Linked DNA regions of Lytechinus pictus. The protein of the gene in region 1 interacts with the protein of each later gene in a pairwise test. Links are inferred from orthologs where the notes say so. Each region holds a gene or a part of one and is shown in the gene's direction. Other genes may lie near its edges.

Region 1 (16,972 bases):
GCAAAAAGATATGTTTTGGGGAATATTTTCAGTGTCCAAATGGGAGAGTTGTACGTGTGTGACATCACAGATCTTGGTCGCATTGCCGATGGGAGGATCTCCATAGCATTAGTGATCTCGACATTCAAATGCTCATAACTCTTTTATTGCTAGTCCTATTTACTCAAAGTTTTGTTGATCTTATTCTTTGATTTTTCTGCTTTCACAAAAGCTAACTTGCTCCAAGAGTTTCATTCTCCTTTAAGGAATTACTTCCTGCCGCGGTGTGGCCTAGTGGATTAGTCTCCGGACTTTGAAACAGAGGGTCGTGGGTTCAAATCCCAGCCATGGCATAGTTTCCTTCAGCAAAAAATTAATCCACATTGTGCTGCACTCAACCCAGGTGAGGTGAATGGGTACCTGGCAGGAATTTATTCCTTGAAATGCCGAGCACGTAAAAGCTGCTTGAGCTACAGCCAGGGTAATAATATCCAAGGCCTTTGGAAGCGCATAGAGACGTTATTCATAATGTGTTATGCGCTATACAAGAACTGACTATTATTATTACCCATTTACCTCACCTGGGTCGAGTGCAGCACGCTGTGGATGAATTCCTTGCTGAAGGAAATTGGGAAAGATTGTAAAGGGGTGGGGTTGTAGTTTACCCCGTTTCCACTTGCAAGGCTGCAAGGTTCATCAGACTTTCAATGTATAAGGGGGGGGGTAGATGATGTACAGCAGAACGGGTAAAATTTTGTGATTGTGAACAAAGAATAATAGTAATAATAATAGCTGGATTTATAAAGTGCTTTTTGCCTGAGGATACAAAGCGCTGCTATTATTACCCCGGCTTTAGCTTGAGCTACCATCACCGACGCTCAGTGCATGCAAGGAATTACTCCTGCCGGGTACCCATTCACCTCACCTGGGTCGATTGCAGCACAGTGTGGATAAATTTCTTGCTGAAGGAAAACATGCCATGGCTGGGATTTGAACCCACGACCCTATGTTTCAAAGGCGAGAGTCGGAACCACTAGACCACGACGCACCCACATGTTTGTATCATCACACCAATCAAATCAATATTTTCAGGAACCAATCCAGGGGTCAGTTTCATAAAGAGTTACAACTGTTGTAACTTTGCCTTTATGGCAACAGGGCTTAGCGGCCAATCAACATCAAGGTTACCATGGTAGTTGCCAGCCATAGTGGCAAAGTTACAACAGTTGTAACTCTTAATGAAACGGGCCCCTGGAGTTGAGTTGACTAGGATGTGCTGTGGTGTGAATACTATATCCTGTGCTAATAGGCAAAGTTTTCTTAGGATTGTTGGTAAAACAAGGAACGAGACAATGATCCCCTCCCATAGGCTAGTACTGCACAAATATTTGATATTGAAATTTGAAGGGGAGGGGGATGGAGTGTCCCCCATTCCCTCGTGGCACAACAAATGGTTGTGCCAACCTGTTACTATCAGGTTTCTAGGACAGCTCTTTCCTATGTCATGGTCTGGTGGTTATGACACCCGTCTTTCAATCTGAGGGACGTGGGTTCGATCCCAGCCATGGCGTGGTTTCCTTCAGCAAGAAATTTACCCACATTATGCTGTGCACACTCAATCCAATTAAGGTGAATGGGGATCTAGTAAAAAGCAGTCAAAGCACTACACCCATGATGATAATGCTGCATTTCTGTAGAGCGCCTAGAGACTCCTGATAAAGTATTAAGTGTAAGCACTATATCATAGCAAGAATGATGTTTTTATCTCAACCTATTTTCAAATATCACAGGTCAGAAAAAAAAAATTACACGCAGTCCGGAGCATGGGAGATTTCACCATAAAAATGCTCAAAGGAACCCTGGAAATCCCCATTCACTTCAGTGTTCAATCTTATCAAGTGTTGCAGATTTGTGCATTAGATTGTGGAACGCCCCCCCCCCCCCCCCAGAAAACGATATTTTTTAAAACCTCTTTTTTTTTGCCTGTCACAGATGATTAATCACCTTTCACCAGATCATGTTCCAAATAATGCACTAAAATAAATAAAAAACCTACCACATTACATCTAAATGTATACATGTTCACTTTATACACCCAGAACTTCATTATTAATGAGTCATGCCGTTATGTCCAATAATACATGTTGTCTGATGAGGTCATGGATAAACTTTCATTTTCTGCTATCTCCGTGTACATTGTAGAATGACAATGTTACTCCCACAGGCAGAGTGTGAGTCATGGTTTATAGCTTGGACATTGAGACAATGCCAGCTGATTTCCTTCTTATGAATGACACTTACAAGAGAAATCGACCCACAATCTGTGGTATAGTGAATTTATCCTTTTATGGAAATACTGTATCTGTAGTTTCTTCTTCCTAAACTTTATACTTTTTATTGGTTTGTTTTTGTAGTTTAATAAACTGTAATGATGTAGCATAATTTATCCATTTCAGAGTAATCTCACTCTGATCGTTACAATACACCGGATTATTCCTGAATCTTGGTGAATAGTTGATTTGCATGCGTCAGTCAATAATTGAACAAATCATGTTCAAAATTGGTGTCGAAGAGAACTGTGCTACAAGATTAAAGAATCTGTTTACCTTTGTGAGTATTTTTGTTATTTACATATCACCTTACAAACCAGCTACCTCTCCACAAGAAATTTTGGAATCATTTTTTTTTGCTGGTACAATTTAAGAGTCGCATGAAACAATAGATCCATCATGATTTAAATTTGAGATTCTTTGTCATAATAATGTCGGTATTTTGTTACAAAAAAGTTCTATAGATAGACAATCGTAAAACAATTACAAGGGTAGCTTAAAACTGAGTAGTAGGATATATGTACTGTACATGTAGGATAACAAGTAAATTTACATCAAGGTCATGTTATGTCTTTTATCCGCACATCCTGCCCATTTGATTTATACAGTCATAGATATAGCTATTCACACTTTATCAGAGCGATTGAGAATCTGCAGGAAAATATCAATTTTTATTTAAAGTAATTTACTATTAAAGGCCAGTTTATAAATAGGGTTTAAAAAGTTCTGAAAAGTCGGTCACTAAATGTACCATTACAAATAATATCTCCTATTGTACATGTATATCATAATTGTGGTGAGCAATAATTGTAAAAATTGAATAGATTTCAAAGGGGAAGGACTGTTTTAAAGCCTATAGGGGGGGTATTTCATTGGTCAATACATGAAGCCACACCCACTCCAATGACGGCCCATTAGCTGGAAGTGTCATTCTTAGACAATATCATCCTCCATTAGAAGTTTCCTCTTTTCTCCGCTGTTCGTCTTACGAAATACATGGTTTGTAAGCAAATAACAGGAACTGATATGACATGCCTACTAATCAGTCTTAATTGATTGACGAGATAGCGTGGGAATGCATTGACTGCAGCAAGTGTTGACCGGCACCCACATGCAGTTTACGAGAGCAACAATGCTCGATGATGTGCCAAAACTATTCAACAGTAAAATAAAACTCATTTTGAACTGTCTCTGGATTGAGCCAAGATATGTGTACATGTATACACGTTTCGGACTCTAAATTGCATTGTATGATCAATAGTTTTGACAAGGTTCATACAAGTATCTCTAGCATTTTGACAGTTCTTTGTCTGTGAGGTTATTCTTTCTTCCTGATGATCATTGCGGACCTATAGTTGGGTTCTGGAAAATAAACTTTGGATATTAAAGAAACTGTCAGTAAAAAAACCTCTGTTGCGATGGCGATATGGTATTGTTCAAATTTGCAGGTTCGTGTGCAGTTATTTTACATTGCATGGCATGATCACAAGCTCTCTATTACTGTACTTGAATGATATGACATACTGATACTGTACAGTGTACAGAGTGTTTATAGGCCTAGATGTGTTTGAATTTCCATTACAAAATGCAGGATTGAAATACAATTTGATTTAATTTTTGTTTTTACTTAATTTCATATTTAATAATGTACACAGCATTTCTGTCTGTATGTGTACGTGATGTAACTTTTTCTTTTCTTTGATTTGATGTATAAAATCTCTGCAACCCATTCTTTATATTACACATTTTCACTCATGATGATGGGGGGGGGGTGGTGGTGGTGGTGGGGGTGATGATGATGGTGGTGGGGGTGGTGGTGGTAATGATGATGATGATGATGACGATGATGTAAATGATGATGATGATGATTATGATGATGGTGATGATTATGATGATGACCATGATCATCGTGATTTTGGTGGAAATGATAATGTTGCAGAACATCCAGTAGACCAATATTAAGAATTTCAGAGAAATGATTCATAGTTTATTAATTGAAATGTAGACTTACACGTTTTAATCTAAAGCAATGTGCAGAAAATGTTTTCCTTACAGAAGGTTCCATTTAATTCAAACCCATGTGCTGGGGGACTTTTCTCTTCTTTGACTCCATTCTAATATACTTTCTTGAATGGGTTTCCTGTATCCACTTCCCAAAACCAGTGTGGAAGATCGCTTTGCTATTGATCTCATCACAGTCTCGTTAATTTTTTCAAAACCACTTCACATAAAGCGATCTTGTTGCTATGGGAATGCCCCTAGTATGCGTGAAATCTAAAAAAGGCAACGTACGTATTCTGCACACTGTGTGTACTGAGTAGCGCAGCTGAGCATGACATACTCTTTTATTATTTCCGGGCGAGGATCACTTCCCAAAGAACAGTTGTGTCCTCATCTACGCTTAAACCAGTTTAATGAGGCAAAGCGGTCTTGAAAACCACATTGCGAGGTGGATTTCTAAACTGGTTTAGAAGACCACTTAAGACTGCTTCTAAGACCTTTTTGAGCATTCCCATTACACATTAGTCTGATTTAAGAAAGCATATGAGAATGGGGTCTGACATACATGTACATGAAAATGAAACTTGTCTTTAAGTTTAAAATATCTTTTGTGTTGAACATGCTGCTAATCTCGCTTATCAATGTGGAGATTTTCCATATCCTTAGCTGCAAGTTCCTGTGATAAAATCTGTTTTACAGTATATTTGGAATTGCAAGATAGTTGAACTCTTCTCAATTTCAAGTTTCATGTTGCTCTGTCATCTTGTCCTGATCAGGGTGTATTTGTAATGCTTTCATGAAGCATTTGCTTAGCTGATCTTCGACTTGACAACTGCAAAGGGCCCCCGATGGGATATTAAAAGATCGCTCAAAGAAAATTTCCTGAGCTCGATGAGATTTGTCCTCAAGGAAAAATCTTGGGAACTTTTATTGAAAGCAAAGCCACCGTAGTTGTTGACAAGCAGTGTGTGGATCGAAATTTCATTATGCAGTAAAATTCGTGTGAGCTTTACGATTGCAGAGATGACTTAAACATTTTACCTGGAGTCCAAGATCAAGGCGAGGATGTTCTCTAAGACTTGATAGTGATTCTGTTTGAGATGTCGGTAATGCTAATAACTGTAAAGAGAATGCCAAGGAGACATGGGTTCTCACACTTCACTGTATTTCTTTTTATTTGATTATGTAATTGTTTTGGTAGTGTTGATTGATACTCCTGGAGCTTTCCAATTAATCACCTAGGAATAGTTTGAGACCTCGAATGAAGGGAACCAAGACTGGAATATCTGTGGATGATTATTACGTCAGTGCTGCCACCAAGTTCATGTGCTTCGATTGCCGATTGGGGGCTGTATCCCCTGTCTCTCATTTTGAGATTGTTGTTTAATTAGAAAACAATCATGCCTTCGGTGTTGATAATCTTGCGGTATTTTCCAGTGGACAGTCCTGGAATAAATGAATTCAGCACTGTCTTTAGAGTAACTTAACTTGTAGGAGGTTTAGAAGGAAAAAATGCATGTTCTGGAGGGATAATCTTGATACTTTCAATTGGACAATCTAGGAATAAAAGGATTCAGCACTGTGCTTTGAATGACTTTATAAAGAGATTTGGAGAATAATTGTGCATTTCCTGTATATTTGGCTTCAAATGGCATCAATTATAGTAACAGGCACTGTCTTTCCAATGTCTTTACTCAGTGTGAAGTGTAAATAGTTCGATGATAAGTTTGCTAATATGCAAGAAAATTGCATGAATGACACTTTCTGATGAATTGGTATTGTACATCTAGTAAAGCTCACAGAATAGCACCTGGGTCATTTTGTTTTTGTTTTGATCAGGTATTTAAACCATTCATGCCTTTTGAATGTCATTGGTTTCTCCTCAATCAGTTTTAGTTTCATAGATCCTCAAGTTTTGAGAGTCCTCAGTACATGTAGGTAGTTCATCAAGGAGAAGCTTCAGATTATCACTTTTACTTTATATGAAAACTAGGTTAGGAAATCCATTTTCATTTTTAGGGGTTACCATATTTTTTGTCACATTGGGATGATAACTGGGGAGCGTTTCATCCGACAAGTTGTCAGATCTGACATCTTTCCCTGATTTTGATTGGCTGAGAGGCACTGTTCCCATGGTAACTGTCAGATAAAATTGGATTTGTCAGATATTAAAAGTCCGACAAGTCCTTTCATGAAACGCCCCCCAGAATTTTTTGGGGCTATTTCTTTTACTTCAAGGACAATCTTTTTGCTCAAATTTTATGCTGTAAAATCATACCTCATTTTTCTTCCATATGTACATGTACATGTAGAATATTAATTTTCTGAATGTTCTTGAATAATGTTTGTTTGCAAATCTTGGGGCAAATTTAGAAAAGATAGCCACCCAAAAGCATTCCATTTTGCAAAGTTTAGGGGCAATTTCAGTTGTCATGAGTGCAAAATCGCCTGTTGCCATCAAATATCTTAGTTTGCAAATGAAAACCATTCAAATACATAGTTTATTGGAGATATGTAATCATATGGCATTCAAATTGTCTTAGGAAAAACAAATGAGAAAGAAAAAATCAGTGCAGTCTTGATTTCTACACATGTATTACAAATCAACATCTGTTGAAGTGATATGTGGATAACAAATTCCTTGTAAGATATATTCAATTTTTGGTCAAAATGCATTCTGCAAGGTGTTTGCTTGTTTTTTTCAAGTGAAAAGTGTTATAAGTCTAATATCCTACATTTTCCAAACTCTCTTTTGGTGATCTGCAAGACATGCATTTAAAATGTGTGCGAAGTCCAAACCTGCATTAGATATTGCAAGATACAAATCCCATAATACTTCCTTATTTTTCAAGTGTGGTTGGTGAAGATGACCATGAATACACCATGAATACACATGTAGGCCTACATATGCATGTAGGACAATGGATATTAATCACCTTGAATTGGTTTTCAAACACCTGCTTCAAGTGGGTAGTACCTTGATGAATTTATCTTCATTCTTAATAGCCAACTTGAACTGTATTGCTTCACTGACGCCCCAGTAGGAAAGACATCAAGTTTTTCATCTGACAAGTTGTCAGATCTGACCTACAAGATCTATCCTACAACAAGTATGGCTTTAAAATTGTATTTAGAAAAGAAAAATGAGAACTAGTTTTCAAACACCTGCTTCAACTGGGTAGTACCTTGATGAATTTATCTTCATTCTTTAGCCAACTTGAACTGTATTCCTTCTGATCACTGACACCCCAGTAGGAAAGACATCAAGTGTCTGATTCAAGCTTCTAGGAAATGGGCCTTACGCTCTTAAAAGCAAGGAAATCACAATCATTTGTACGACTCGTTTTGGGGCTTTGATCCAGATCTAATTTATCAAGACAATTGCAGTCACTCCGCGTGCCTGTCTATCGAGATTCCTTCGATCTCCTTGTGTTTGAATCTGTGTGAAGGACGATTCATGAGAAATAAACTGGAAGATTGTCAGGCGTGCTCTTGTGCCGAAATGTTCCGTTATCTTGGACTCGCCATGACTCCACAGGTAAGAATAAACATGGAGAGATTCGTAAAAAAAAAAATTCTGATGCCATGGGGATGGGGGTACTGCCATTCTTTAGTGGACACCAGCGTGGTTTCCATTTTGTGACAGTGATGCCCCCTCGACCCTCTCCCAGTTGATGACATCGTGTAAAAGCTATAATATTAATAATATAGGTTTATTTACCCAGGGAAGCCACTTCAGTTCTGAAAACTGTTCTCCCAGCGGGCCCTGCTATTATACATAATTGGCATAATTATAGTTGCGTTGTTAATTTTGTTTTAGATTGGTTTCGAAGAAAAAGAGAAAGATCACAGAAATGTGGTCTGGGGAAAAAATCTCATGAAAGGATTTGGTTTGTACTGTACATGGCATTACAAGTGGCACCACAAAATTTGTAAAATAACTAGAAAATTATCAGTCGATTTCCTGATGCTGATCAGTAGCACGTATGACCTCACCCACTTTGATTTATATTGCCAATAATGTCAGCCATTAATAGATCGTGAGGTTTTTATTAACATGAATTATTTTGAATTTATAATACATGTAAATATTTGACTTTTATCACAGGAAAGACTTCAACATGAGGAGCTCAAATGTCCCTCTATCAGCAGAAATCTGATTTTTTTCCCCTGTTGAACATGGAAAGCCAAATTCACCACACACTCGTTACAATCACCCTTACCCCATAGGCCCATACCAATGTATACCTTCTCTTTATGTATTTTTAGATATTTATACATGCATGTTACAACTTCCCACAATTGGTAGAAAAATATCATTGCGATGTAACAGATGCATTTAAATAGATAAGTACAATTTGGGAATTAGAATGGTTGTACTTTTTATCTGGTACCCAATGTAAAGTTTAGACTCTTGATGTACAATTGAGCGATTTAATAATAAAAATAAACCTGTTAAGAACTGTTATCAACTGCTTTAAACTTTATATTACAGATGATGAGTCAAACATGAATTGTCCTTTGCGATTCTCCTGTAAAGTGTACTAAAAAGATCAGTACTGTGCTATGTTTTGTGTATATTGATTAATTTCTTATATCAAACTTTGTACAGATTTGTAAAAAAATAAAAATAAACAAACTAAACATTTAAAACATGATGTTGATTACTATTTTGAAGGATGTGAGTCAGAAAGTTTTGTTCACCAATCTGTCAAATCATGGAGTGAAGTGCGACAGAAATTGAAGCAACTGTTCACCCATTGCCCAGGGATGTATCAAATACTCTCAATTCTCCTCATGCATGCATTCACCCTTGTACAGACTGCAGGCACGGACCCTGATTGAAACATTGATCAACAAGTAGGTCTTCAAAAAAAGATTAAACATGTATAAAACTTTATGGTGTTTCAATTGAGAGAAGGCCTTCAGTCCACAAGACATTATAGGCCTAGACCACTTAGGCCCAGACCACTTTGAGTGTTGAACAGAAGACTATGTACATTCTGTATCAGGGTTAAAGATTTGTACATGTACTGTATGTAGGACAAGGAACATTTATGACATCTGGGGCCCGTTGCAGAAAGAGTTGCAATCAATCGCAACTCTAAAAATCATGCTCAACTTGATTTTCAACCAATCAACAGGGCACATTTGTGACTTGCGATTGATATTTTGATTTGCGTTTAAACACAACTCTTCCTGCAACGAACCCCTGGTGGGTGTTTCATAAAGCTGTTCGTAAGATACAAATGACTTTACGCACGACTGGTGATCCTTTCTTGTGCTATAGCCCTATGTAATTGATTTATGACCTGAGAATATGTTCCAGTCGTGCGTAACTTTACGAACAGTTTTATGAAACACTCAATAGTCGTATGCCGAAAGCCCCACTTCAGTACAATGATTTATATAGTTTAAAAACATTGTAGATTGATCACCTTTAGGTTCTTATGATTTTAAGGAATCTATGATGGTAAATTGCCGATTCGTCTGTTTCTAACTCATCCAATCATCAAATGGTATACCTTCATTTTATAATCTGATACTATTTCGTCTAACAATCATTTGGTCCAATCATCATTTCATCTAATCACCAGTTTGTCTATGACCATTTTGTCTCATAACCAGTTTGTCTAATACCCATTTCGTTTTCATTAATTTCGCTCAATGAACATACATAGTCCAATTAGACCAAATGGTATATGTATATGGACTTAAAATGGCTATTGGACCAACTGGTTATTAGACGAAATGGTGAGTGGCCGAAATTGCAATAAGATAGTGAATAACCATGGATACCAGTAGAGTGAGTAGACCAAATGATAGTAGACGAGTTGGTATGGACGAATTGGCATTAGACCATTGAAAATAAGCCTTTACGATTACATGTATGCTTCACATGTGGTTTTAAATTTGAAAGTTGCAAGTGATGCATCAATCCTTAATAAAAATGTAATATGGAAAACTCCCTTAGATAATCAATAGATTATTGAATCATCCATATTTTGGGAATTGACTAATTTCAGATTAAAACTCTACTTAACACAGTTTATTTACACCAACTCCTTTTATTGTCATTCGGCAATTGCACTAAAGTCAGTTTTTGTTTCATAAGGATTAAGAAAGTTGTTGTGTGCTCACTTGATTTATTACCATACTTCTCATTATGGTTATATGTGAGATTGGCTTTCTGGAATTCCCACTTATCCTCTTTCAATTTTTTGTCTTTGATATCCTTGAATTCCTATGATATAGATTGCATTTTTAATAACAATTTCATGGTTAGAAACATGGTTTTGAAACCTGGTATAGCATTTGCACAATATTTGTAATATAAACAGGACTTTTTAAAAATATAAACATTATTTTTAAAAAGGTTTCGTAATGCATGTGTATGACTCAAAATGCTTTTCCTGTAGAAACCCCTCTCTTGAAATCCTATAAATTCAATGTATCCGAAGCCGGGGTGAAATGATGTCATGGTAAAAAATGAAAGCGTTTTTTGAAAGGAAAGTTGCATATAAAATGTACATGTAGTACATTTAAGACACATGGTAAGGAGAACTCTCTAAAGAAATGCTGCTCTTTTAAAGTTCTCTTTCAAAATATTTACTGGTATTCAAGACCCTGTTCCTCAGAACTATATTGCTATACAGGTGAAGTATATGATAAATTGATGATTGATGATGATGATGATGATGATCAGTGTTATAACTACTGTACAGTTGACGGAAGTGGTCGGGCACAACCGGCACAGAAGATTTCTGGCCGCCTCTCATCATGAAAAAACACTGCTTCTGTCCACCAGTAATTTCAAATGAAAAGTGTTTCAAAACCAACTCCTTACAAGGAGAATTGCTCTTGCATTCATTTCCATCTTAGTTTAATCTTGTTTTATTTACATAATGTACGTTAAATATTCTTACATTTGATATATATTTGTTTATCTTCAAAGATTTGCTTTATACATGTACAGTATGTCAGATTTTTATTACATTGATTTACCTTTACTTTTGGCTTTAAGACCGCTAACTCAGCCTGAAAAATCGTGGTAATGCTGTGAAATAGCGACCACTACTACAATGGGTCTAGCTAGAACATGTGATGATAATGATGATACTACATGTACATACATTCTAAATACTTTACAAATAAATTATTACCCCAGTCGTTGGATTCTGAGTTGCCCACTCACACAGCTGTATGGATGTTCTTCACTCTCTGGGGGAGAATTTCAACAAAGGCTTCCAAGCACAAATGCTAAACAGGGTGCATCAATTGGCTATGAATATGCTCTGCGAATGCAACAGTATGTACACATGAGAATTTCATTTTGCGATATTCTCTCACAACTCTTTGATATCTGTATTCATCCTAGTTCTGTAATTATGTGTCTTTTCAGCTTCAAGGAATGACCACCAAGGCAAGTACTGAGAAGAGAAAAATGGAAGATAGACATTCACTGGTCCAAGAAATGGTAAGATATATCAAAACAGATTTCTATAGATTTACTTGTAACATGTCATTCTCAGAGAAAATGCAGCCGTGTTGCATTTTGTAATGTCACACAGAAAAATTACTCGGGGGCTGGGGGCGATATAGCCCTTGAAATGCTTAAAAGAGCCTTGGAAATCCACTTTCATCGCAATGCTATTAAAAGCTTCTCCAATGTTGCAGATTTAGGAAGTAAGTTGTGAGAAGTACCCCCCCAAAAAAAAAAAAAATAATAATAATAATAATAATAATAAATGATAAAAATAAATAAAATAAAATAAAATAAAAATGAAAAAATAATAAGATTTACCTTTATCATAGGAGTGTGAGAGTTGAGTTTTTTTAGAGTTCGGCTTTTTAATGCTGACTTCAGTTTTTTTATTTCTTGATTTGCAGCTTCTTTAGGGTGAATTTCCTCTGTATTAAGCAGGGGTGGGAGAGTCCAGATTTTTAGCTGATTTCAGATTTTTTTGTTTTGATTTTCAGCTTAATTTCAGCTTATTTTGGGCTTTCCTCTACAAAAATTATGGGAGCTCTTTCTGTTTCAGACTTTTTCAACACCCTTCAGCTTTTTTCAGATCTTTTTGTTTGTGACCACTCACACCCCTGATTAAATTAAAGGATATTTTGCAATTTCAGATATTTTATAAATCTCTTTACTGTTGGTCATTCATAGCTCTGAAAATGTTGGCGGATTGAGGCCATTGGCATGTTATAAGAATTGATATTAAAAACTTTTGAGTAAAGTCTTGAAAAAGAAATAACGGGGAAGCCATTCTTACAATATCTTGTTTGTGATTTCACCTACAAAGCTGCCGTTAGCCAATCAGATAAAGGATTTCAGTTGCTACATGTATATAAACTTGAATAACAGCTGTCAGTGATATCATTTGTATTTTAGTCCAACAAAATTTTCTTAGATTACTGTGGAAAGGTTGGACGAGTTTGATTGATATTTACAAATTCATTTCCATTTCGTTCGTATTGTAATTTATATAAATCATTTTATTTTAAAAAAAATTTGTGTATAAGATATCCAGAATGAAATTTGTTTTTGATATATGGTTAACGTGCAATGTCATATTCATAATTCTTCCTCGTTTATAGATTCATATTTATGATTTCTTGATATTTATACCTTGATTGCTGATACAGGATACCTTGTGGAACATGACCTTTGACCAGAGCAAGACACCTATTATGGAAGGTTACCTGTACAAACGGGCAACGAATGCATTCAAAACATGGCACAGGTATGTTCACATCCAAATATGCTTTCTACACTCACACACCAACGAAACTGACCCTAGACCGATCGATGTTATGTCATTGGTATTATTATTGCAGCTTCTGTCAGTCTGGACTCGGGTTTTTGCTGTTCTGATTGTAGCATACCACTGGCATAGATTCAAGTAGGAAACTATAGGGTTGTTGAGGGGGTGGGTGGGGGATGGGGATCCATTGTGTTTTATACCCCCTATTAAACTGCAATAGCAGGAGGTCATTTATCTCCATCCATGAAATCTAAACTGGGCCCCGTAACACAAAGCTTAGCAATGATCGTAGAACATTTTTCTACAATTGATTCCATCGGCTACAATGTACAATCAATCATCAAAATCAAGTGTACGATTAATCGCTAACCTCTGTGTTACGGGACCCAGGTCTATAGTAGCCAGCAAAGGGTTTTGACAAGCAGTTTGTTCTTTTGCACTTGACTACATGTATGTGAACGTCTGGATTTTGGAGTGTCAATTATCGATCTCAATTTTCCTTTATTGTCTTGTGTTTTCTTTAAATACTACAGTATTTCAATTAAATTCATATAGATTGGGGAAAAGATATCTCTTACCCACCAAAATGAGTACTAACAATATTATTTATAGTGAACACCTGCCTTTAACAACTCATACTCAAAAGTTGCAGAAACAATTAGGCTTTAATTCTAGCCATTTGCAAAGTCCAGCTGAACTTTAAGTGAAGGGATTATGACTCCCTCCCCCTCTGTGTTTCAAGTCAACACAGTTTTATTTTGAGAGGGAGACAATAGAGGATTTTTTTAAAAGAAAAGTTTCACTTAATAATATGTTTAATCCTTTTTAGAAGATTCAGTAGTTCGTCAAATAAACTCTGAATATGCCTTCATGGACATGCATCTTATCGGTTTACTGAACATCATTCTTTAAAAAAGAAAATATCTGTTTATTAGTATTCGTCATATTTTAATTCTACTTTTTCATGTAAAGATACCTTTTATTTGATTCATATTAAGTTGATCCCTTTTTTTAATGTTTAATTTTCAGACGATGGTTTACGATAAAGGACAACCAACTGATATATCAGAAAAGATCTAAGGTAAGAATATCATAATTGAAAGGTGGGGGTAGGGGGAGGGATAGTCTGGTTTCAGGGAAGTGAAAAAGTGAAAAAGTCAGTTGACATTTGCATGTAATAATGTTTTAAAAGTACCTACATGTAATGATTAAATGTGATTAATGAACATTGATTTGAATCAATCTCAATTTGAAGTGATTGATCATTAATGAGTTACAATTAGTACGAAATATATGTTGAGTTGATATGCACAACTTTATTCTTAGATAAGGACTACGCTGGGGGCCGTTTCATAAAGCTGTTCGTAAGTTAGGAGTGACTATGAGAACGGCTGGTGATCCTTTCATGCGGTAAATGATATTCACCATTGAATGTTCTTTTGTGATTATTTAGCATGTAAGAAAGGTTCACCAGTCGTTCTTAAAGTCGCCCTTAACTTATGAACAGCATTATGAAACACCCCTCTGAACGGTTTGTATGCAGAAATACATTTTATAATTTGGTTACAATTTTAGTGGCAACCTAACTTTGTGAAATTTATAAAATCTAAGCTGAAAAACAATTGAACTGAAGATCACCAATACAGGTAATCACACGGACAGTTAACCTATCATTTTTTCTTGGGAAAATGTAGTACATTTGGCTGAAATGCCATATTTTTTTTTTCATATCTCAGCTCATTTAACAATTTCTACTAGAATTATTTGGCACATATTTCCTTTCATGCATACATACACTTAATGGTCATTTTATTCAATTTGTTGGGACTCATTTTTAGTTTGTCTGACAATCTGCACTCACTTTTATGTTTATCTTCATGAATATTTTATTTTGGCAGGGTCAAGTGAGCATAGCTTCCGATGATCTTAGACTGTGCAATGTAAAACCATTAGATGAGATAGATAGACGATTCTGCTTTGAAGTGGTTTCACCTGGCAAGTAAGTTACCATCTTTATTTTTATAATTTCAACAATTCTTAGAGCCATCATTTCCTTCTTTTAATGAAACATTTGTCCTTTTCAGGGTAACCACCGGAATAAGTACACAGTATGTAAAATATGTTTTATTGTAAACACCTCCCATACTCTGCACAACCAATATAAATGTATGACCTGAATTATTTCTTTTAAATATATAAAAGTGGAAACGTTGATAAGTTGAAATTCTTGGCTAATCGGAGCCCCTGTTGCAAGTATAAATGTAAACCACATTGCTATAGATATCACAGCAGTCTTTATGATCAGGACTCTGTTGCATAAAAGTTTCTGTTATGGTAACTTTGCCATCCAATGGTAACTACCATGGTAATGCTGATCAACAGCCAATCAGAATCAAGGATTCCATGCAAGTTAACATTGCATGGCAAAGTTGCCACAATGGTAACTTTTGTGCAACGGGGCCCGGGTATGAAATGCAACTTCTGTGGCTTTTACTCCATCTTAAATCCTAGCTCAAATTTTTGTATTCGTATATTTGGTGTACTCTGAACATCAAATGAGATATTTTTTTCTATTTGAATTTGACTTTATAATAAGTTCAAACAACTTGACCTTAAAGATATTACTTTCCAAAATTTACAAAACGGCAAATAAAAAAAAAAATTGATTGCACACGATACTAACGCACACAGTGAGCTGCAGGAGAAAGGGGATTATGTCGCTTTACTATGAATTATCAGGTAATTTTCTCCTTTGCTTGTCTTGCTTCAGAACCATAGTGCTTCAAGCCGATAATGACAACATCCGTCACGCCTGGATTCAGGCATTACAAGCCGGTATTAACTCGGCTTTCAACAGTCCTATCGCTAAGACTCCACCTGCTGCCTTGGAGAGAGAGGTGGGTATTGTGGAGCATTTCATGAAACATGTAATCAGTGATTTGCTCTGGCAAGTGTTATAAGCTACTGAAATGCCTGCATCTGATTGGCTGAGAGCAAATTTTTCAAACATAATTATTGACAAAATACTTAATGAACACTCCCAAGATTTTGCATGCAAATCTGTAGATTAGAATGAGATGAATAAATGGTAATAAATAAAAGAATAAATTTATAATATTGAAAACATAAAATAATTGATGGCATAAAAAAAAAACATGAATAAGAATCTGAGAGCCAGTGGAATTTGAACATGCTTGTCAGGCAGTAACTTTACCACCAAGTTACTAATGATTAATGGCTCAGTTCTGATAGACAATCTATGTATAGATGTTATTTATTTATTGTAATAAAATTCAATTAGCAGCTGAATGCTCAATTGCAATAGTTTCAATATTAGAGTACAAGCAAAAGACAGAAGAAAAAAATATATATATTTTACCGGAAAAAGGACAAGGAAATGGTACACAATAGAAGTAGGGATGTCAGAAAAAGGAAAAGGTGAAAAGAGAAAATGGAAATTTAAAAAAAAAGTAATGATAACCTCATAGCATTTTAGCATTTTAGGTGGCTAATATTGATTGGGGAATACAAATATCTAATTCCGATTCAACCTGACCTGTTCGACTTGTTGGTACATGTATGTATCTGCGTTGCATGATGTTTTGTGCTGTTTCTTGGACTTTACATCTATGTGGCCTGTAATTGTTTGTTTTCTCTGAAACTCTGTTAAAACATTTTCCTGAATTTGATGGGTTTCCTTTATCACCCAAAACTTCAGACTCTCAGTTAAAGCAAGCTGGATGAAGTGTTGGTCGCTTCAATATTTTTTTCATTTGATTGTCTTCTTGTTTGTTGTATTATCTCGTAGGTCAGTGCATTTGATAATGCTTCACCTTCTCCCGTCAGTACCCAACTCTCCAATGAGTCTAAGAAAGAAGGGATTCGAGCTGAGAT
Region 2 (16,493 bases), on another chromosome or scaffold:
CTCCAAGTGGTTAAAAAGCGGAGATAATTGCCTTTAAATTTTATTAAACTATACATTATACATATTATACATGTACATGTTATACGTATTAGTCTATGGAAATGCATACAAAAAGCGACATTTCTGAAATTGAAGTATTCAAGTTTGATACCTTATAAATTTGCTAAAAAGAATGATACAGAGTTGGAATTTCATCCACATGATAATAGTATGTCAATAAAGTTTTCTGGAACATTTCAAGGTAATTCATTCATTTTTCTCAGAATTATGTAAAATCATGTATTTGCTAAATTTTCAATTTTTGGGAAAAAATGACAAAAAATGCAGTTTTCTACTTAAAATCTCAGCCAAATGACCTACTTATCCCCTATAAATAGTACCAAATTGTAGAAAATTTATTTGTCTTTCATATGACACTAATTTTGTGGCAATGGAATATTTATGTCAAAATCTACGTACGAAAATTCAAATGTTCTGAAAATTTGGCGGCCATTTTGAAAAAAGCGCCCTCACGGGTTAATTTTCAGGATACAGCCTGGTTACCTCATATATTCATATTCAGCGTAAATAACTGGTCTAGAAGCACTATATGAAAATTTCTCCTTTTTCTTGTGGCACCTTGCTCAATTATAACCCGGACTACATGGGGCACTACATGTATGCATACAATCACATCCAGGCGAAAAATCAAAAGGATTCTCAGTTAACTTCATACACTGTACTTCAGGCCTTCTCATGTATATGGCTACTTAACATGTACCAAACAAAGGAACTTTATGAAAATTCAAGTGACAGGGTAGATGGATTATTCCCCCCCCCCTTCCCAAGTGGAAAAACCACTTATGAAATGAAATTCACTCATCCGACTCCCACATGTACATGTATTTGTTAATTACTACTCCTTGCAAAGTGCTAATTGAAAGTACATGTACACAATGTACTGCAACTTCTAACCATGAATGTATGTCGCTTCAAAAAATAGACAATCAGTGCCAATGCTAACATACCTCTCATCTAGCAGTCAGTTTGGCCTAATTTGAAAGTGAGCAAAACTTCTCAAGCCAGGGGGTTCAAATTGCCCCCCCCCCCTCTCCCCTACATCAGGGCTCGACACTAGCGGCGGTCCGACGGTCCCAGACCGGTAAAAATCGCTGTCGGGCCAGTAGATTTTCAGAAATAGGAAGATTTACTGGTCCGACATGACCAGTAAAAAATATCATTTTCGGGCCACTAATTTTTCCAAAAATAGCAAGATTTAAGGGTCCGACATGACCACTAATAAAATCCACTGTTGGGCCAATAACTTTTCCAGAAATGGTCAAATTCACTGCAAACTATTTCCCCCCGTTAAATTCTGTCATTCACACACAGAATACACACACTAGAGTAGCATACAGTGTACATGTAGCCAGCCACACAACCCACGTGGTAAATTCTCTACTGGCTGCGCGAACGAAGCTTGGCTAAACTCTGGCAGAAATGTCTCACAGAACTGTAAAAATTCACGGTTTATACTCATGAAAGGCTCTTATAAGTCCATATTTTCTAAAAATTGGAGTAACTCTGTCATTTGTAAGCAGTAAAAGGAGAAATTTTCACTTCTGTTTTGGTTCAAACAGATCGGGTTTCGGGTGATATCTTCTGAATACATAATAGCCCCACATATGCATTTATGTGTGTGTTGATACACTTGGTTTCTGACTTTCTTTCGTAGCTATTTTAATTGAGCCAAAAAGAAACTGGTAAATTATTTGATGATAGTTTTAGCTTTCTTCCTCTGTTTTCTTCCTATCTTTCTTTCCTTCTTTCTTTTCCATCTTTCTTTGTTTCTTCCCTCTTTTCTTTCAATTTTTTTGTTACTGTCTTTCTTTTTTAATTTCCCTTTTTTCTTTAATTTGTTCTTTCTTTCCTTTTAAAAATATTTTTCTCTATTTCTTTTTTCTCTTTCTTTCTTTCTTCCTTTCTTTCTTTCTTTCTTCCTTTCTTCCTTCCTTCCTTTTTTTCTTTTTGATATTTTTCTTTCTTTAATTCTTGAGTCCATCCATCCTATATTCATCTCTTCTCTCGGGCTTTCTTTCCTTCTTTTTACCCTTTTCTTTCCTTCATTCTTTGTTACTTTCTTTGTTTCTTTCTTCCTTCCATCCATCATTTATTTACCCTTTCTTGTTGTTTTTTATTTCTTCCTTCTTCCAACCTTTTCTCTCTTTCTTACATTCATTCCTTCCTTTCTTATATATGTCTTGTTCTTTCCTTTTTCCCTTTGTTAAATCTATCCTTTTATCTTTCCTTTCTTTTTTTGACTGCTTGCTTCCTTTCTCTCCTTTATTCTTTCATTCCTTCCTTTCTTTGTCTCTCAGTCTTTCTTTTTTTCTTCCTTTCATCTATTCTTTTCTCTTTTTTTTTATATTGCTTGCTTCTTTCCTTCCCTTCCTTTATTTCTTTCCTTCTATCTATCATTTTACCTTTCCTTTATTTCTTCCTTAATTCCTTTCTTCCTTCTTTCAATCCTTCCTTCCTCTCATTCTTTCTTTTGTCCTTCTTTCCATCTCTCCTTTTACCCTTTCTTTTGTATTGCTTCTTCTTTCTTTCCTTTACTACTTACTGGATTTGTTCTTTCTTTCTGTATTGCTTGCTTCATTTCTTTCCTTCATTTCGTTTTTTCTTTTCTTTCTTTCTTTATTTTTGTTCCTTCTTTATTCCTTCCTTCCTTTCCTTTAGTTCTTTCTTTTTTTCCTTCCTTCACATCTATCCTTTCTTTACCTTTTCTTTTTTTCTTCCTTCCTTTCTTTTATTCTTTTCTTTCTTTCTTTCTTTCTTCGTTTCTGTCTTGCTTTCTTTTTGTCCTTCATTCCTTCATTTTATTGGGGGGGGGGGAACGAAAGGCTAGAAAAATAAACTTGCGCCTATATTTAATGTTTTCTTTATTTTTTGGGACCAGTAGATTTTAGGTTCGGACCAGTAAAAATTTGAAAAACTGGGTATCTACTGGTCCGACACGAATAGGTTGGACCAGTAGAAAAAATGGGTTAGTGTGGAGCCCTGCCTACATGTACGTGTACATGTACACGGGTTAATCCTGAATACAGCCAATTCACATTATGAATCTTTTAAAAAATTCATACATGTACAGTACATGTATGTCACAAAGCTAATAATTTTGCAATATTTACAAACATACACATAGTATGTATGTACATGTGAGTGTGATATATTGTAATAAAGAAAATGCTGTGCACATCATTTTCAGCTTTTTGGTAAATGCAGTTTAATATTAAGTGAACCCTTCTTCAAGTTTTTTCCACAAAGTATCTTGATAGACTGTCTAACTATAAGATAAACTGGAGTGAAATTGATTAAATTGAAGAGCAAGTGTAATATCTGAAACAAAATGTAGAACTACATGTATTCTTAAACATCCTGTTAAGGCCTGTCTAGCTACTACAGTTCACATGGACTTCCTTGACCTATACATGTAGGCCTTTACATGCAGTTTTGAACAAGGAAAGTTGAATTTTGCCATAAATTATGTAAAACGCATATGATAGGGGCTACATATTCCATAACAAACTATTTTCTCAAAAAATTTAAAACGATTTCACCAACTGTCCTTTTAATTCAATCAGTCAGATAATGTATGCTTGCATTATTTGTGTCACTCTTCTTCAGTAAGAGAAAAATATTTTCTTCATTGTTTTTCAATTTTGCCTGTTCATACTCCATCAGGATAGGGACCTGTGCTAGTTTTTCCACATTGGGGGCAATTACTGAATTTTGAGGGCTATTTAATTTTCAAGGGCCACTTTTTGTGCAGCAAGCAATGATGCATTTCCCATTCTGTTGTATATTGATTTTCTGAACTTTCTTGAATATTGTTTGGGTTAAACATGACCCTCATGTATTTCATACACTGTACTCCATTCATGAAATACAGTATAGATATATGGACTGCTTTGAGAGGCATGGTTGTTTCTAGAGGCTCAAGGGGGCCGCAGCGCGACTATGCCCGAGGGCATGGTCTGGCCGATGCGGTACCCGCGAGCCGAAATATAAAAGCAGTCCATATATATTTTATGAACCGAATTAACGCTAGATCTAGATCTTAAACAAGTTTTAGGCCTAAAAGCCCTAAGCCACAGGCTAACATTACATTAGGCCTAACGTTAGGCCCTAACTTAGCCCTGCCCCTGACGTTAGGTCTCGAAGTCGAATACTAAAGCATTCCATACCAATTAGATCTACTGAGTACTGCCACTAGGCCTATTTAGGAACCAAATTAGGGTCTGAACTAGGCTACCCCAAGTTAAGTTTACTGACTTAACGTTAAATCTCCATTAACGTTACAGTCTAAGTTAGATCTAACCGACGTCATGAACGTTAGATCTCGGCTACGTCAAATCCAAAGTAAGATTAAACGGAACATTAGGCCTAACGTTAATTAGATCTAACTTAGATCTTGAATCTACTCTTAACTCCTATAAAAGCTAACGGTAGATTTCACGACCTAACGTTGTCGTTTGTCATACCTAACGAGTAGTCTAACGTTAGACTCTAACGTTACTTATAAATCTAACTTTAATTAGAAAGTGCAGTGACCGTACGGTATTATCTTTTCATTCGACTCACCTTTTGCGAGCATGCATTTCAATGAAAAACTGCAACAAGACTTGATGATTGATACATCCGTTATGTCCTTAATAAGTTAGTCTTCTTTTAAATAATGCCATATATTTTAACAGGAATCAACAAGCAAAAGACAAAGATCGGCATCTTTCCATCGATGTGACATATCCGTTGCGCGCACTAGCGCTATAAGCGCGTAAATGCGCGAATTGTCTAAAACTTCCGATCAAATCGCGCGGATATTTATGGTATCCGCAATCACCGCAGAAAGCAACATTTTGCATGCAATCAAATGGGGATCTCGGCCAAATTTTGCCATGCCCGTCGTTAAGGGGTGGGTCAGGGGGCAACAAGCAGAAATCTTGTTAACTATGCCCGTTGCCCTTGGTTACCACCTTAATTTGTTGTTTTGAAGGCATGGTCGTTTACATGACCTCAGTTTTGACCAATCAGAGGAACGGATTATTCGACATTCTTAAAGAGAGGTTTATAATAGGCCATATGTCTACATCAAATTTACATCAGGATACAGTATCCACAATCCAGGTTGTGCCCTATCCACATTTTGATGCCATGGAGCTTCTTTTATGTATTGTGTAGTTGCCTGTGAGATAACATTTTAAAAGTGTTTTTTTTTTCTTCCCCTTTAATACATTCTTTCTTTTGTCTTTTTGAATTTCCGCATCCTCTGAAAGTGGCGCTCATGGCATCTTTCTGCCACCGCCCCCCCCGGCCAGTGTGAACACTATGTAATTGCAATATTATTAGAAGACAGTGACACCGTTCTCATTATACTTTCTAAAACTGGTTTACTGGAAACCGATTCAGGAAACCAGTTCAAAAGATTGCTTTGCGAGCGTTTCCATTTGGTCACCGGAAAGTGGTTTTCAAAACAACTTCACGTAAAGCGGTCTTGTCGCTATGGGTACACTCTTAGTGGGGTGACATGTTTTACACAAAATTTGAAACTGCAGCATAGGCATTCTACACACAGTGTGTGGAGTAGCGCACTCGAAATGTGCGAAGATCGCTTTCCTATAAAGAACGGTCGTGTCCTCACTTTAATACGATAAAACCAGTTTAATGAGGCAAAGTGATCTTCAAACCTACATCGCGAGGTGGTTTTCTTAACCAGTTTTGATGATCGCTTCCAAGACCGCTTTGACCATTCTCATTATGCATTAAATAGTTTCCACTAAAGTAGTTTCCAGTATTTTAGGACGGTAGTGAGAACGGTGTCAGTGTTGTATGGTGTGGGTCATGATCAATTTAGTGTCATAGGGAAATCACCAGTGACAGAATATCCTCATTCTCCCTCTGATGGCCATAAATAACTCAATGCTGCGCTTCACATTATACCCTTCTCTCTGGAGGCTTGCTAACTGCTTGCCAGACATTTAAAGGAAGTGTTTGAAGTTGGAGGAGTATTTACATACATGTACAGGATGTATTTAAACGTCCCATTCCCAGAAAAATCCACAGCTGACTGACAGTTTAGGCCTACATTTTGTTACTTGCATGGTACTGTTTAAGTCTTTCAAACCTAAGGCTAAAACCTTTAATATGGTGATGATGTTGATGATGAGGATGATGATAATGATGATAATGTGAATTTGATAATATTACAGGTGATGATAATGTGAATTTGATAATATTACAGGTGATGATAATTCTATTGATAAGAATAAAATCAACAAAGTAAAAAAAAACATGTCAGCCTAGATCTACATTCTTGCAGCATTTGAGAGCTTAATACACTGCATTGTAGAAATAGAGTTTTATATGTGTGCATAAACTATAAACCCTCTTTTTAGTTATTATTATTGTATTATTATTCACCAAATACAAATGTTAACAACATGTGACATTTGCATTTTTTGCCAGACATTTTTTAAGTCTGTGCCTTTTAATATTTTTACATCATGGTGCCATAATTACAGAGTTCAGAATTATTTCACTGGCCATAAAAGTATATAAGCAATTCATGACCCAATTTTTCCTTCTCATATCCCCTCCCCCCAAAACAAAAGTCATGCTGGATGGGCACTAAATGGAGCAGTAAAGTGCACATTTGTATTACTCATGTGCACAGCCCACTATGAAACCTGCTACATGTACTCTCTTAGATTTTTCTAACTATACGGTAATTGTCCGAACTGTTTGGTATTAGTTTTTACATATAAAACTGCATGGAAGAAACAAAAAGTGGACTCCCTACATTTTAAAGGGGGAGTGAACTGTGTGTGGTCTTTCATTGACTGTGTTTTACAAATACATAGTCTTAAAATATACGTTTTCAGATATCTACTAACACTACAGAGAATAAATTGACCTATAATTGTATTTGTATAGAGAAACTAAAATGTTTTGAGAGGAATAATAATCGTTTTGCTACTTTGTAACATAATTATTGCGGTATACTTGTAAATGTATTGAGTGGTTAATTAACATGTTATCATTCAAGTGGGTCTATATTACTTGACTACACTAGCATTATGGGTCAGGAAACTGGCCAGGTATGAGTAGTTGAGGACTCGAGATGGCGCTATTGCCTATTGGTTCATATCTGCTTTAAAGAATGGCAACATTACTATTATAGACCATGTATGAGTCTTTGGGCACATGTAGGACCTGTATCTACATGTAATAGTGACTTGGCAACTGCACAATATTCCATTGTATTGTATAATGTAAATAAATGCAATGAAGTTCCTACATAATTATACAGTACATGCCACACAAGCTTATGTGCTGCATGAAGATTTACTGTTATTTTCATGTAGGCTGACATGTATTTCCTTTAGCATGTACATGTATGTTAATTTCCCCTATATCTCCCTGTATTTTTTCATGTACATGTATAGGCCTATGTATTCCCATAAAGCCCCCCCCCCCCTTTCCCTCTGTCGGTTTATTTTCTTTGTTTTTCCTTCAATCTTTTAATGTCCCCTTTCTTGAATTTTATTTTTGTAATTTTTTTCATTTATTTTTTCATTTTTATTTTCAATTCAAATTTATTTAATTTATTTATTTATGTATTTATTTATTCATTTATTTATTTATTTGTCATTTATTATTTATTATTTTTTCTTGGGGGGGGGGGGGGGTAATTCCAACAGAACTGAAGTGGCTACCCTGAGTAAAATCATTATGATTATTAACAATTATAAAACTTATTTCGATGTACATGTACATGTAATTTCCTGTTGGTCCATCCTCTTTCACGAATTGGTTAATTTGTTTTTGTACATCTACATGTATCAAGTATTCTATTGGTTTGTACCAGTTGGTAATTCAAAACAGATTTTCCTATAAATTGAAACAAAGTTTGATCCCTCCTGATGATGCAAAATTGCCATTGTTGTACTTATTGCACAACATGATTGAATTGTTAAAGAGTTTCCTTGAATGTTGTCAAATCTGCAAATATTGAAATATTGTGTGATTCATACAATAAAATAAAAAGAAATACATGTACATGTACATGTAATGAGCATGCAATATCATGAAATCTCTCTATTGCAGATGTTTTTGCATACATGTACAAGCCTATACAGTGTAGATCTATTTTGTGTCAAGCATAAGTTTGAAATATCAATTATTTGTATTATTTTGGCCTTTTCAGGGCTATGCTGTTTAATTTTCTCTTCAATATGAGACAAGATTTCCATCTAATGTAACTTGTTGTTAGGGTGGACTTAAACTTAAAAAGGTGGCTTTAATTGAGTGTTTTCAAGCCCAACATGACACACCCCAATCTGAGTCTTATTAACGTTGCAACTGCTAATTCTTGTATGCCAAATTTGCTGCATTTGTCATTGATTTCAGAAAGAATGCCACCAGTTGATATTTGGCAGTTTATCAAGGCTACTTTGAAATATACAGCCAAGTACTTGTTAAATGTATAGCCAATCTGTTAAAAATTTGAGAAAATAATGAAATTAAAGGGGAAGTTCACCCAGAAGAAACGTTTGTTGTAAAAATAGCAGAAAAAATAATTAAAAATAGTGGTGGAGGTTTGAGGAAAATCCGTTAAAGATTAAGAAAGTTATTAAAATTCTTAATTTTGGATTTGTGACGTCATAAACGAGCACCTGCCCATATGTTATATGATATAAAATCATGAATAATTGTGATTTTCATTTTTTTAATGGTTCCTGATGACGTATTTTCGTTTTCTTTTCATGATCGGGTGTGAAGTGATTTGTCCATATATATGAAAGTAGTCCTACAGTAAAAACCATTCTCAATTTTTTGAGAAAATTACATTTCATTGATTCTTTTTACCATTTGCTACATGTAGATGTAGGAATGATGCTCGCATGTGATGTCACAAATCAAATAATTAAAATTCGTACAACTTTTTAATTCTTTGATGGATTTTTCTCAAAACTTCAGCAATATTTTAAAATGATTTTTCCTGCTTATTTTACAAAAAACTTTTTGTCAGGGTGAACTTCCCCTTTAACTTGCTGCACCTCCAAAGTTTGTGGAGGGGGTTCACAGGCATTGAAAACATGTTGAACCTGCAAGTTTTACCGTACATGTGCTGTAGCTGCTTTATAATTATTTGTAGTTAATAAACAGAAAATTATGATGCTGGAATCCTGGAACCCAAAGCGGGTTAGTGTATGCCTTTATACATTCAATCAATAAATGTAGTTCCCCTGCCTCAATGCTACATGTAACTGTATTCATATAGTTTCATGATTATTATTATTTTAGAAGGTACATGCAGTAAATTTATTAATGAACACAAATTATACATTATATATTCTGTGGAAATTTTCACTTTTAAACTACAGTACATCAACATTTACTAACATGAAGGCCTAGAAGCCTACATGTACACTATATGCTCAGTAGTGTAGCATATTGAGAGAGATACATGTAGATCTACATACATGTATTTATGTGTGTAAATGTAGCTACAGTGCAAAAGATTTATTGCCCTGTCCATAGATTACAGCTGCACTATACTTTTTGTTTCATATTGTTGCGATAACTCATGTACATGTAGATCAAAGAATTAAAAGGCACTACATATACCTACATGTATATGCCTGACATACATGTAAAGTCAGCTGCTGAGCAAAGAACCCAGTCCTGTGTGATTGATTCAGCCACAGATCCTTGTACTTGTATGTCATTGTTTAAATTTATAGGAAAAGTATTAACTGTGGAGTGAAGCAATTTAGGGTTGCTTTGTCAGATGACATTGCCATTGATGATACTATTGGTCAATAAAAGAGCTGTGCCTTTATCATGAAGCCCCAAAGTTGACACCTGACATGTTTTTTTTTCTAACTCGTTCCCACAACTTTAATACTCTGGCTTGATCCCTTGACTTACAATGTATATTAACTTATTACTTCTATTTAATGACTTGTTCCCTTGAATTATGATATTAACCCTTTCCCTCATGATTTTTTTTGTATGACTTCACTTAAAATTGCATTTTCTATCTGTGTTTTCTGATTGCAGGTGTAGGAAAAAGTAGTCTTCTTTTGAGATTTGCAGACAACACATTTTCAGGTAAGTTGGAAACCAGGTATATCACTTGTTGTAAGAAGTACTGCAAAAGTGTAAAATGCCATGGTTTTCTTTAGCGGGAGGGGGGGGGGGGTGGTCAGTATGGGACATTGCCCAAGTATATTTAATCTGATAAAGGTAAAAAACAAACCTCCATCTTTTAGGAAGATTAAACAAATTGTCAAAGAAGAAAAATGTACAAAAGATGTAGTTTGTATGTTCAGGTATCAATATCATCCCGTCTATAAACTTCTATACTTCTTTTGGAGTGCCTTTTAGAAAGTGATTATGATTGCATTGTTTATTGATATTTACCTACTTTCCTCTCATTTATGTGTAAAGAATTGTCAGAAAAAGTTTTTTTTTCTCATAGGCTACACACATTCTCTCTAAACATGTATCTTTCTGTTTTTTAGATCCTTTCTCCTCCCCCCCCCCCATTCTTACCAAAATTTGGCAGTATGATTTTATCTTTCTTCAATTTTTGCCTCTTGTTCTTATCTGTTAAATTTCTCTTTTGGAAATTGCATGTACATGTACATGTACACAGTACCAATGTGTTTTCTATTGTAAAAAATGATAAATTACCAATCTTGTAAAAAAATATGAATAAGGATATTATACGTTTTAGAGGTATGGTTACTGTTGTGATGGATGTGTTCTAGTAGCAATAAACTGATAGTTTGCATAAGTGTGTACCACTATCGAGTTTGCTTTTTTATGCATATCCAGTTTCCTTTCGTAGTTTCGATTATCCCCTCAACAGTCATTTAATTGATTCATTCATACAAATCTATGTACTTTTCCTCCTTTTGTTTTTCCAGGTTCCTATATTACAACTATTGGTGTAGATTTCAAAATCAGGACGATCGATGTCAAAGGTGAAAAGGTCAAGTTACAGATCTGGGACACGGCGGGACAAGAGCGATTCAGAACCATCACATCAACGTAAGGGGTGGCAAATTAGGACTGTACATGTACTGTGCATTTGTAGGCTTGGACCAGTATTCGGTTCAATACTTTTGCTACAATTTTAAGTATTTTACGTGAGCAGTATCCTGCTTTTAAAAGTTAAATTCCATTATTTCAATTGCCCTTTTTAGCCAAGTATTTAAATCTGTCAGCCCCATACCAGGCTTAAAGTTTGGCTAGCATGCAGTTTACAAAAGTACATACTCTGTACACATGGTCACCCGTGCTGCTTAGTCTGCTGTGCAAACCCTTCACTCGAGTTAAGGGTCTGAAATGTGCACCCTACTCATGCCTTGTGTACTGAAGGCCCTCTCGCTCAGGATTGAAACAGCAAGTATTGTATGTGCTAGTCTTTGCGTGGAGACACACTTGCTGATCAAAATTTCAATCAGGGTCTGTGCCTGTAGACAATGTGCTGCTCACAGGCGGATACATACACGTATGTAAATTTTGCATAATTAGCTGTGATATTTTGATGTTACAATGCTTAGTATGGCTTGATAGAGTAAATACGTTTGACCCTGCGATTGACCATTGAGCAGTCTTTCAAAAACCACCCTTTTTCTTGTAAATCAGTGTTTTTGATACCCTTAATTAGTGAAAGCGCAGCCCGCGTCCAAAACGGAAAAAAAAAACACCCCTTTAAACACGTTTTTTTGTCATGCATGTGTACAGCAATATATTTGACTGCCAACCCCCCCCCCCCCCGGGGGTAATTGATTGGATGAGAGCAAGTTGTGCACTCATATCAACTTTTGTGTAACAAGACCCCCGGTTCTTATGTCATTTGTATACGGTGTACATGTATGTATGAGTTATAAAGGACATCTTCTGACATGCGACATTAGGTCATGCGAATTGCTAGCATGAGTCAACATATCAATATTCAATGAAATGCACTCTTTGCTATTAAAACTTCATGTCATTTGGGACACTCGACTGCATGCATACATTGTACATGTAAATCCATGTACTGACAGCATTTTAAACTGTTTTATGGAGACAAGGCAAAGAGTAGAGCTCTGCCTCCTCCACTTCTATAAAGGAAATAAAAGTTAAAGAGAAAATTGTGATGATGTTTATGATAATGAGGAGTAAGACTTCAGAAAGTTGTTAATTCTGGAGCAGGTTTGGTATGGCTGTAGCATATGGCTGTACCTGTTTATTTGAATAGTGGCAGAGTAAGGGCAAGATATATGAGAGCGACGGCATGGGGGAAAGTCAGGGAATTATTTAGATAACTCCCATGGAAAGATGTGGAGAATGTTGAAAGTCAACATTTCAATCTCATATTCTCTCCATCTCAAAATACATGTACTCTGTAGAGGGTTGTGTTTGGATTGGGTGCATTATAATGCTCAACCTAAAAGTACACTCACATTTCTGGTATTTACTTTAAATTCATTATCATTATCAAGGTGGATGAATGACAAAATTAATTCCTTGTTCAACCAGAATCTGTTAAGTATATTAAATTCAAGGATACCACTTAAGACTAAAATCAGAATTCCTATTTTTTCCAATAAATAAACACCTTATTTCTGTTATTGTGTGTACAATAGGCCCAGCCCTGATAGTTTTCCCCACCTACAGTATTGTCGTCGATTGTGGCATCTGTGAACATTTCATTTGGTCTTGCTGTAAAAGATAGATTTTATAGTAATCACTGTTCAAGTTTTTTGCCTCCAATACATAACTTGAAACTCATCCTTAACCTTTGAATCAAATATAAACCAATCATGATACATGTACAGTAGATCTTCCTACAATATATACCCTTGTGCTTGTCACAATACTAAAAGACCAAATAGTATACTTTTAGAGCAAAGCAATGCGTATGTATCTATTTGCCTGAAAATACAAAATATCCAATTTATTGTATTACTAGCATGTACAATGTACCTGAGTTTTAATGGTTTATTTTAATGATATATTTTCATAGATTTTGTATTTTGTTTGGAATGAACTACACTGGCTTTATATAAAATGATGTTCATATTGATGATGTGACTGCTTGCAGGTATTACAGAGGGACACATGGAGTGATAGTAGTCTATGATGTATGTAGTGCAGAATCATTTGTCAACGTGAAGAGATGGCTCTATGAAATAGATCAGAATTGTGAAGACGTCAGTAGGATATTAGGTAAGTATGACTCTTAGAGGGGCTTCACACCTTGGCCGAACCACAACTATGGAAAGCCAGCAACGCCAACATCTAAAAGACATGATTGTTCAAAATATTTTCTCTATATGCTGTATATTCTTGTCTGATATGGGTAAATAATATATGATACATTGGATTGCCATACATTATTTGCTTTAATACTCTGGCTATTAAAATTATCTAGGTATGACAGCCCCTTCGGAGATAAGTGATACTATGATTACCACTGGTGAAGTGTAGGACAAATTATCTCTTTTGATAGCAATGAATCATTCTAAAGCGAGGTTGAACTTCAATCATATTTAGTTCTTCCTTTCTGTTTGACAGTTGCCTACATAAAACATTCCTTTTATTTTTCTGTTTCTATTGAAACTGTTGTAATAGGACAGACTTCCCATTCTATAGGTACCTGGGAATGAATGGTCTAACTATAAAAAGCACTTGATAACCATTCATTGTATTAAGTTCCGAATCACCGCTGTTATAGTTAGGCTTACTTTTGACTTGAGTGCCATCTATCCAAGCCAAACCAAAAAGTATCAAGGACAAGATTTGAAATAAAAATGTTTGATTTAGCTGGCAATAATAATGCAACAACAACAATAATTATGATAATAATAATAAGTAATAATAATGATTATCATCATCCTCATTGTTGTCATCATCATCATCATCATGTTATTTCTAATGGGCTTGACGTATGCATTGTACATAGTACACTGACAGTTATTCTTTGCATTATTTGTCTGTCTCCCTCAGTTGGCAATAAGAATGATGCACCAGACAGGAAAGTTGTTGAGACGGAAGACGCCCAGAAGTTTGCAGAACAGATGAATATTCAACTCTATGAAACTAGTGCAAAGGAAAACATTAATGTAGAAGAGGTATACTATATCAGAAAAGGCTTCAAACTGTCACCTGTTATCTATACATTAATAAGCTATAATAGTCTCTATTAATATTTGTATATAATCATTCATATAAAACCCTGCATGCAAATTCAATTGTATATTCATATAGGCGTAATATATACATGTAGTTGCCTTGTTTGATTTGTTAGGTGTAAAGTAATTGTTAATAACAAAATACAGCATCAGTTTTTTATTTTATTTTGCGAAACCCAGTGAGGGGGAGGGAGCAGGGTCGGTGAAGTTTATGGAAATAGGACAATTCTCAAATCTAATATATATGTATTTTTTAAAATATGGTAATTCAATCTCATTAGTTTTTTTTTAAGCTAGGGATTAGGAGAGAATTAAGTTTTTAGTTATTTTACTGTAGTATATGGACTTTTAAAAATTTTAGTTACTATTATGCTTTTCACACTGCATTTCCTTAACCCCATACTTTCCTTAATCCCGGACTATCCTCAACCCCATACTATCTTTTTTTTGGTTTCACACTGTCTTTTTAAACCCTATACTATTTGCTTAATAGCCGGGGTTAACGCCTTAACCCCCGACTATCGTACAGCTCATGAATATTTATGATTTTTGCCTTACAGAGTGTGATTAACGTGCAATTTTGACTTTTGTGATTGGCTAATGCTTAGCCCCACTTTTCCTTAGCCCGGTTTCATTTCACACTGCATCTCTAAGCTCCGCAATAAAGCCGGCTAACCTTGCTTTTTTGCAGGGCCAGATATTACTGTACTATTTACCATGCTAGCCCACTTTGCTATAAAAACGTACTGTGAAACTGAAGAGGGCTAAGCTTAACCCTTGGAAATTAGTGAGGCTAAGACCCCCCTTTTTTCCTAGGGTTAAGGAAAATATGTGCAGTGTGAAAAGCATATATTTTTAAAGAAAAGTTCTAAGGATGAAGAAAAAATATCTACATCATTCAAAACAACTTAAAGGAGAATGAAACCCTTGAAACCAGCTGAATCAATATCAAAGAGAAAAATCAAAGAAACATATTGTTGAAAGTTTGAGGAAGATTGAATGAATAATAAGAAAGTTATGAGCATTTGAATATTGAGATCACTAATGCCATGTAGATCCTCCCATTGGCAATGCGACCAAGATCTGTGATGTCACACACGTACAACTCCCTCATTGCTTTAGTACCGGTACTTATTTCACTTATATTCTCACTTTTATAGAATCTATCACAAGGTGAGGTGTTCTCTTTATGAGAGGGCAAGTACAGAGGTTTCACAACATTATATCATTGATGAATCGTTTGTCATATGATTAGAAAGAGCAAAAAGAGATGTTTTGGGGTATATTTTCAGTGTCCAAAAGGGGAGAGTTGTTCATCTGTGATATCATAGATCTTGGTTGCGTTGCCAATGGGAGGATCTCCATAGCATTAGTGATCTCGACATTCAAATGCTCATAACTCTTCTATTGCTAGTCCTATTTTACTCAAACTTTTGTTGATCTTATTCTTTGATTTTTCTGCTTTCACTAAAGCTAACTTGCTCCAAGAGTTTCATTCTCCTTTAAGTAGGTTATATTTAGGTTGGAGCGAGTAGAAAGTATTGTATGTAGCATTTTTTGGGACTGGACGAATATTATTGTTTGTCAAAATAAGGTAAATAGTATAAAGTGGAGAAAAACACAATACCATCATCTTTCAAGAAATTTGGGCAAAATAAGAGGTAATAAATTCATTTTATCTTGAAGACATAATCTAATGCATATTTGGTTGAAATTGGTAGGTTCTATTTCTTAGCCAAAAATAGCCAAACATTCTTTGAAGCATCAAAGGAATTTGATGTCTTAGAGTTATATTGTCAATATTATGTTCATAAAAGATTTCACAATGATCAAGGGTCAAAATTCATTTTTTAAATGATATTTTTCAAGGAATTAAAGAAACAGTTTTCCTTAATAACATGTCAGACTGCGATCTGACGTGATAATAAAGTTTAGTTTTAGTTTCAGTTATAGTAGATAGCTTTCTCCTGTTGATGTACATCCTGAGTCATTCAGGCTGCATTCATACAAATTTATAAGCTGCAAAATACAATCATGATAACAAAACAATGTTTTTTTTTAAATCACCATTCCTACTGGGCAGTGTTCATATGAGCTTTATGTATCAACCTGTTATTAAAAGAATAGTTTATTTTAGAAAAAGCAATGAGGGCTCTTGCAAGTGATGATCATCGCTCAATGCATGCTTCTCTATTATTTGCAGCATATTGCATAGTTCTGATATTCTGAACCACGTACCGTAGATAAATATTGGTGTTT

The links.
Region 2: the proteins of arf-GAP with coiled-coil, ANK repeat and PH domain-containing protein 2-like (region 1) and ras-related protein Rab-35-like interact in a two-hybrid assay, tested with the Caenorhabditis elegans proteins (2 studies listed by BioGRID). The link is inferred for Lytechinus pictus from reciprocal best matches to the Caenorhabditis elegans genes cnt-1 and rab-35.

Annotation. Positions count from the first base shown.
Region 1 is NC_087258.1:14,594,223-14,611,194, forward strand, and holds the start of arf-GAP with coiled-coil, ANK repeat and PH domain-containing protein 2-like, read left to right. Parts: upstream 1-10,386; 5' UTR 10,387-11,721; coding exon 11,722-11,787; intron 11,788-12,959; coding exon 12,960-13,057; intron 13,058-14,107; coding exon 14,108-14,159; intron 14,160-14,976; coding exon 14,977-15,077; intron 15,078-15,848; coding exon 15,849-15,975; intron 15,976-16,886; coding exon 16,887-16,972. UniProt on the Caenorhabditis elegans protein: GTPase-activating protein for the ADP ribosylation factor family. Regulates endosome recycling downstream of rab-10 and upstream of arf-6.
Region 2 is NC_087246.1:23,245,822-23,262,314, forward strand, and holds the start of ras-related protein Rab-35-like, read left to right. Parts: upstream 1-8,363; coding exon 8,364-8,412; intron 8,413-10,104; coding exon 10,105-10,155; intron 10,156-10,976; coding exon 10,977-11,100; intron 11,101-13,144; coding exon 13,145-13,269; intron 13,270-14,049; coding exon 14,050-14,174; intron 14,175-16,493.